Coturnix japonica: one gene and its partner. Each later gene encodes a partner of the first gene's protein in a complex. Links are inferred from orthologs where the notes say so. Each region holds a gene or a part of one and is shown in the gene's direction. Other genes may lie near its edges.

The links.
Region 2: the proteins of PTPN3 (region 1) and mitogen-activated protein kinase 12-like are in contact, whole or in part, in a crystal structure (PDB 4QUM), measured with the Homo sapiens proteins. The link is inferred for Coturnix japonica from reciprocal best matches to the Homo sapiens genes PTPN3 and MAPK12. Residues at the interface, in NP_002820.3 of Homo sapiens: Arg655, Leu671, Asn674, Arg675, Tyr676, Lys677, Asp678, Val679, Arg751, His812, Ser843, Ala844, Gly845, Ile846, Gly847, Arg848, Met883, Gln886, Thr887; in NP_002960.2 of Homo sapiens: Met182, Thr183, Gly184, Tyr185, Val186, Val187, Arg189.

The regions. Positions count from the first base shown.
Region 1 is NC_029517.1:46,309,685-46,313,437, forward strand, and holds the start of PTPN3 (tyrosine-protein phosphatase non-receptor type 3), read left to right. Parts: upstream 1-1,326; 5' UTR 1,327-1,356; coding exon 1,357-1,483; intron 1,484-3,753.
Region 2 is NC_029516.1:18,175,059-18,178,711, reverse strand, and holds part of mitogen-activated protein kinase 12-like, read left to right. Parts: intron 1-705; coding exon 706-785; intron 786-1,641; coding exon 1,642-1,720; intron 1,721-3,360; coding exon 3,361-3,534; intron 3,535-3,653. UniProt on the Homo sapiens protein: Serine/threonine kinase which acts as an essential component of the MAP kinase signal transduction pathway.

The DNA.
Region 1 (3,753 bases):
GCAAAATGAGAAATGTTATTTACCCAGGTGAGAGAGAAGCAGGAAACTGCCATACTACATCATTCTCCACTAAGGAACCTCTTGTGGACCTGCCATTTCCGGGAGGATGTAAAGTTCTTATAAGTGAGAATTGGTTTAGATTTTTTCTCTCAGCAAAACAGAAACTGGACTTGTACTGAATTTTATAGAATTATTTTATTTATTTATTTTTTTACAGCATAAATAATCAGGTTATGACAATAAGGTCACACTCCTTGTATAACACGACACTTGGCATGCATGCAATCTGAAATGCTCACTGCTCATTGTCTGCCTCATCCCAATATTTTACAAGTGTGCAATAATGATAACTTCCTCTTTCATGTGTGTTTTGTGCATAGATTTCAAAGCACTTTCTAAAGAAAGGGAGCTGTAATTATCTGTGGTAGAGATGGGGAAACAACAGAGAGCTAAAGCAATTTGCCCAATGTGACAGGGCAAATTAGAGGCAGAGTCAGGTGTAAATCCCACGTCTACTGCTTTTTGGCTCTTTCCTAGCCACAGCCTCACTTGCACTCAACAATGCTTGGGGGTGCAACTGCAGTAGGAAATGGCTATGGGGATACTTTTTGATGTGCCCTAATGTGGAACTGGTGCAAGTCATAATGAGGGGCCACTCTTGGCATGAGGTCAGCAGAGAACTGGTAATTAAACTGCATGGAGCTTTCAGGGCCATGCTGGGGGCTCTTTGCTGAGACCTATATAGGGGTTGTGCTAAGGCAGAGATTTTTGTGGTTGCTACATGGACTTAGCTTCTCTGCAGGCAGCACCAGTAACCTTGCATTCTCCAGTCTGTGTATCTAAGAAATCACGGCCACATGGTTTGCATCAGTAGCAATCAGCGCTATTATTCATGGGGGCAGAGGTCTCTATGGCAGAGATATGGGGTTGTTTTATCCCACAAGAATCTATGCCCTGTGAGATGCAGAAGCAGACCATGCCACCTGTGTGCATAGCAAAAGGCTTGCTGCTCTCCCACGGTGCAGAAGCACCCAACTTATACCGCTAGCTGTGGTTTATTTGGCATGTAAGACTGATTCTAAATTACTTCCTGCACGTTCTCAAGCAGCTTCCCTTTAAAGTGCAGCAGCTGTGACATTTTGCAGGTTCTGTAATTTCAAATGAGGCGCTAAGAGACTACTCCTTTCAAAAAAAGTTCTTTTAATGAAGGTGGGTACCTGTTGCAGTGAATCAATTAAAGCTCTTCTGACACACAAGATGCGTGTTGCCAGACCTGCTGCACAGGTTTGTCAGGAGGAAGGATAACATGTGACAGCACACAGAAGCCAAGAGGGCTGGAGAAGATCAGAAGCTCGCATGAGCGAGCTGAGCTTTCCAAAATATTTTCTTGAAACGCTATTCAGAAGACCCCTGAACTCTCTGGCAGGCGGCACCATGGTGGAGCAAGAGATCCTGCTGTCGTGTGCTTATCCTCAAGAAAAGTGTAAGTGACCAAATGTGATTTTGTATGAGAAATGAAAGCAGGACACAGGAGAAAGGAAATGAAAGAAACGATCTAGCTATTATAATTGAAAAGGCAGAGGGAGTACAGGGGAAATGCTAAAGTGAGGAAATAAGGAAGCTATTAAATTTATATTGTAGGGATGCAATTGAAATATGATTAGTGCCTTTACAAGCAAAAGAAAGGATGCTTGTATGAAGAACTTTGATATAAAAGCGTCTTGAGGAAACTTGCTTTAATGTTTGGCTTTGTGCTTGTATTTGTGAGGTACTACGATGTGGCACTGCAGGTGTGGTGGAGAATGTGAACAGTGTGCTCTGAGTAACTCAGACGGCAGCTTGGGGGACTGCAAAATCTTTTTCTGGGAAGTTATAGTATGGTGAAAGACAAAAATGGAGGTGGTTGTTGTTTGACTGTACAAACTGTCCAGAACTTTATGCAAATGTCAGCTGAGATTTACAGCACAGTTCAAAGATTCCCAAATCAATCCCTCTCTCCCCAAAGGAAGGTTTAACATAAATATTATTTATCTTACTAGAGACCATATTACAGTCTGGAAAGAATAACAAAAATCTTTGCACGTGTTTGGTTATAACAAGATTTGGAGTATCTAAAAAGTATTCTGAAAAACTCGGAGTTCAGCTCCCAAGGTGCCCAAGAAGAGCGTGTCAGGCAGGGAGGGAGGCAGCTGGCTGCAGGAGCAAGGCACTGCGCCTGGCCTGGACTTGTCTGAACAAAACGCTCAGCAGAGGCAAGAACGGAACTGGTATGTCCCGAAGCCACTCCAGTGTGCCGCCTGAGCAAAGTTCAGCGCTAAGAAAACCTTCTCTCTTTGAACTCCAGATACTTCACTTTTTGAATGGGTTGGCTTGTTTTGGCAACACGAAGAGGATGTTATTTAAAGCTTACTCCACATGGAAGGATTGGCTTTGTTCTGGATGTGTGCCTCTGTGCAGAGCTTGGTGCTGGCTAAGAGCAGGGAGGGCTGGGATGCCAGCAAAGATGCAGTTTACCTGTGGAGAGATGACTTCTCTCACAAAGCCCCAAATGCAGAAGACGACAGAGAATTAAATTCTTCCTGCTGATCTGAGTTAGGAGCCAGCCCGCTTGTAGCCAGCCAGCCTTAAGGGGAACCAGAGTTGTGGTTGCTTTGCTATGGAAAACCAAGTGCTTCCTTTGCTGCTGACTAGTTGCTATTAGAGGTTTTCATAAACCTTTACATATGCAGGCTATCAGTAATTTATTTTTAGCTTTGCTGTAACATAAACAACCTGAGTGAATGCTTTTCACTTCCTTTCTTTTTTCTCCTTTCTTTTCCTTTTTAAAAAGCAGATGAGCCATTCTGGGTTAAAATCATCCAGTTGCCATCTATGAAAGACAGAGGGTGAATGGAGTTCAAATTGCACAGTTTTGTATATTATATACAACTTCACACTGCGTGTCATTGTTTTTGCATGTGTAAGAGAGAAGGATTTCCCAGTCAAGCTTGGCTCCCAGTAATGCAGAAATGTGTCAGCTGCAACGCATGCAGCACTGTAGAGTCTGAAAAATATGCACAGAAAAATCATAAGAAACACAAAGAAAGTAAATCCATAAGAGGAAGGAAGCCAGGTGATACCGCAGGATGCACAAGCTGGGCTCTCTAATTACATCTTCTGGTGGCATGAGTCAGGACTGGTCGCCCCCTGAAGCCACTGGAGTTGCTCCATGGGCTGAAGAAAGGGCCACGTAAAGAATCAGCCTTGGCATTTAGAGCATTAAGCACTTGCCAGGAACAGGTAGTACATCTTCCTGACACATTAACCAAACACCACTGAGCACTGAATATCTCAGTTCTGGTCATGAAGGGTCAATCTACCCCAGTAGGCGATGCATTTGAGCTCAAAACTCTGTGCTTTTGTGAACTGGTCTGAAAAGTTGAACCATTGCAGATCTTAGCTTAAAGACAAAACCAAGCCTTTTAAGAAATCCTTCCTGCTGTATCAAAATGGGCAAGGGATGTCTTTGTGAGTCATTGGCTATGTATCTGTTGCTATGTGAATTTAACAAGACACTCGAAACTTCATACCTGAAGTGCCTAGCTGTCCATGACAACGTATTTCCATATGTGTGTCCTGTTTATTGTCATTTATCTCTATAAATGATTTTCAGGGGAAAAATAAGACGTTTTATGGTGAGCTTTTTTTGTCTTCCAAAACATGCTGTGATGCTTACAACACTGAAGATTAGACCATTGTTAGTCATATATTTTC
Region 2 (3,653 bases), on another chromosome or scaffold:
AGTGTGCTGAAAATCTGATGAGCGTAAATTGAAACATATAGCTTAGGTAAGGCTATCATCTTTGTATTTAATTAGTTATTTGATACTTGTACCACATCTGTACATCAGCGAATTAAAACTCATATTACTGAACTTTCTCAATAGAGAGTGGGATTGGGATATCCATTGAATGATGCCTCAAATCATCAGCTAAAAGTTTCACTGACAATACAAAAGGTAAATATTAATATATATACATATGCATTTGTTGTAGCAATAGGTTCCACAACTTCAGCACAGAAAGTTCTGGTGTAGTGTATGAACTTATGAGCATGTGCTAGTCCATTTCAAGCTTTTTGAGGCTTTTGTCCAAAATACCATGTAAATAATACATAGTAGAATATTTTAGATGTGCAGAAAATATTTAGTCATGTCATTTCATTGCTGACAATTTAAGAAAATAGTTAAGATTTGGCCATACTTCAACCTTAGGTGATACTTTGTTGGCCCGAACGCTTGTGACAGACAGCGGAGTGTAGTGCTAAAGAATACAGCAAGAATTCATCACTTGTCCTGTTTACGAGTTCTGTATGTCTGACAGCTCATCTTTTACATGCCTCCTGTTCAGCTGTTGCATTGTTGGTTTTGCTTTATTCTCCAGCAGCAAAGAAACACGTAATTTTTATCCTATGGTGAGAGTCTTTGTTCCTTATTTCTGGCATTCAGATCTGGACCAGCTCACAGAAATCATGAAAGTAACGGGTACTCCAAGTCAAGATTTTGTGCAAAAACTGAAGAGTCAGGAGGTGAGTGTTCTGCTTTGTCAGACTGTGTTGTGTGCGCTGGGCCATTCTCAATTCTTAGACTGCCTGAGATTGTGTGTGTTGGCTGCTGAAATGACCCCTGATAGCACATCTATCACAGTATCACAGTATCACAGTCTTGTGCGAGTTGGAAGGGACCTTAGAGGTCATCGAGTCCAACCCCTGGGATTCGAGCCTCCTGTGTAGCAGAGCGGCACTTCTACCACTTGCGCCACATGGAGGATTCTCTGCCTACTTTGGAGGTTTCACAGCCAGAATAATTACTGGACATTAAGAGGAAACAAAATGATTAGGACACTGAAAAAAACCAATATATTTAAGTACTTTAAATCAGCTGAGCTGATACATTACTTCCTTTGCTGGAAGTGTACTGACAATATGAACCTCTTCAGAGAGCCCATCCATTCTGTGGGTGTCTCTGACTTCCTCTTTCCTATTTTCTTGTGATGTTTTTGAGAATCCTGAAGTCCCTGCTATAAAGAACCTAAAATAAACCATTAGATGAACTGTGCAGATTGAATACTACAGAATTACTGTGAAACATACACTTTTAGAGGCTTCTGTAAATTTCAGTATGGCATTCTTTCAAACGATGAATACATACTTATTCTAATCAGCATATTAGATGTTGATTAGGTATCAGAGCTTTATGTTTAATTTCTTAATCAGAATTGTGAGGTTTGGTTTAAAAGAAACTGTTCCTTTCAACAAGAAGATGAACATAACCAGGCCTTAGAACAAAAAAAAATATCCTTTTGTGCAAGGTACTGTCAAAGCACCAGTAAGGTACCTAGTAAAGGAGGAAAAGTTCTGATTTAATACTCATGTTTCTTTCAAGGCAAAAAACTACATCAAAAGCCTTCCAAAAGTCCAGAAAAAGGATTTTGCATCCGTCTTGAAGCATGCGAGTCCTTTGGGTAAGGCAGTTTGTGTCAATGTGTACAGTCCGTTGTTGTTTTGTTTGCACTGGAGGCAGCAGCAGTGTCAGCATGTGATAAGTTATGTGATGATTCCCATGCTGCTCTGCCTCTTGCTTTCCATAACTCAGAACTTTGATTCTAGTGGCCGAACTGTGCCAAGTTTAGACACTGCCAGGAATCAGATGATTCAAAAGAGTCAAAAAGAAGTATTTTATGCTTTAGGCTCTGATCCAGACCGTGCTTAATGGTTTTACTGAAGCAGCTTTCTCAAGAGCCCTGGGGATTTAAATATATTTAATAAAGGTTTCTGTGCATTGTATTTTAAATATAATTCTGAAAGGTCCTTTTGATGTACAACAGAAATGCAAACAAATAGAAAGCTGACATTTTAGACATGGAATGAATGCGTCCTGAGAAACATCTGTGCATTCCTGCAAAGATCTGGCTTGTATTTGATGGATATAAACAGCTAGAAGAACATACCAAGTGTGCATAACTGTGACATGACCTGAGGCAATAAGTGCTCTGAGATGGCTCTGCCCAGCTTCATCCGTTCCCCAATGACCTGACTCATAAAGCCAGGCTTTCTTAGAATATGAATTAGGACAATTGAATCTTCTGTATTTAAGCAGTTAAAATGGCATATGAAGATACAGTAGGATTATTAACCATGACCGCATGGCTCACTCACTAGCTGTCCCAGCTGCAGAAAACTCTACACATCTCTACTTTATTTCTTCCTGTCACTTCTTTGGCCATCTGGCTGTTCCTTATAAGAAAAACAACTGCTCTTGGTCTGGGAGAGAAGGTTGGAAGGACTTGTTAGGTGCGTGGTTGGACTTAAAGATTTCAGTGTTCTTTTCCAATCGAAATGATTCTATGATGCTATGAAGCCATAATGTGCCAAGCAGGTGTTGTAGCATCTTTTCCCATGCTGCTGTCCCTTCTTCCTTTCTGGTGCTCCACCCAACTCAGAAACTTTCTTACAGGATACTTTTATGAACATAATAGAATCATGTCAGTTTATACTAGTGCCTTTTGATAGTCTCACAGAGGGCCCGATCCAAAATCCACCCGTGAGGAACACTGAAGATGTTCATGGATTTCATGGATTGTCTTGGTGAGGTCAAAACACGTTGCAGATAAAGTTAGTGCTGACATTTAGAGCATGGATGTCTTGGTGAACTTGAAAATGTGCTGCCAATGCTGAGGACATGGATCTAGTCACATAACAAACAATTCTCGATAGCTCTACACCCATCTGCTCATAGTGCCCCTGCCAAGTAATGATGTGCCTCATAACCACAACAAAGTGCTGGCAGTGAGGGCAGACATCTGGGGAGTTCCTACATGCAGTGGACCTGGAGTCAGAAGTTCAGAAGTCAGAGCTGAGGTGATGTGTCTGTATTGCATGTGGAATTTAAGGAGCATCTCTGCATTTCTTGGTACACATCCCAGCTTGTTCACAGCACTCTGTTTTGTTGTGCAGTTGGACCTCACTGGCTGTAGAATGAGCACCCAATGATTCTGCTTTGTAAATCTGTAGGTATCTTTGAAGCATCTTCAATGCAGCATTACTATGTATAAGCTGAAATCGGCGCTTGATTTCAATGCAGTGTTCATTTTCTGTCCCATAGCTGTGAATCTTTTGGAGAACATGCTGGTGCTGGATGCGGAGGAGCGAGTCACGGCAGCTGAGGCTTTGATGCATCCTTACTTTGAAGCAATTCATGATCCTGAGGAAGAAATTGAGGCTGAGAAATATGATGACACATTTGATAACATGGATCTACCCCTGGATGAGTGGAAGCGTGAGTTTAGTTTTGTGATGTTTTAAAGAATAAGCAGCTAGAAAGGCCATCCTGACATGAAAATATTCTCCTTTGCTGATGAGTGTCACAGCTTTTAATGGAAAAGAATAAGTGGACAG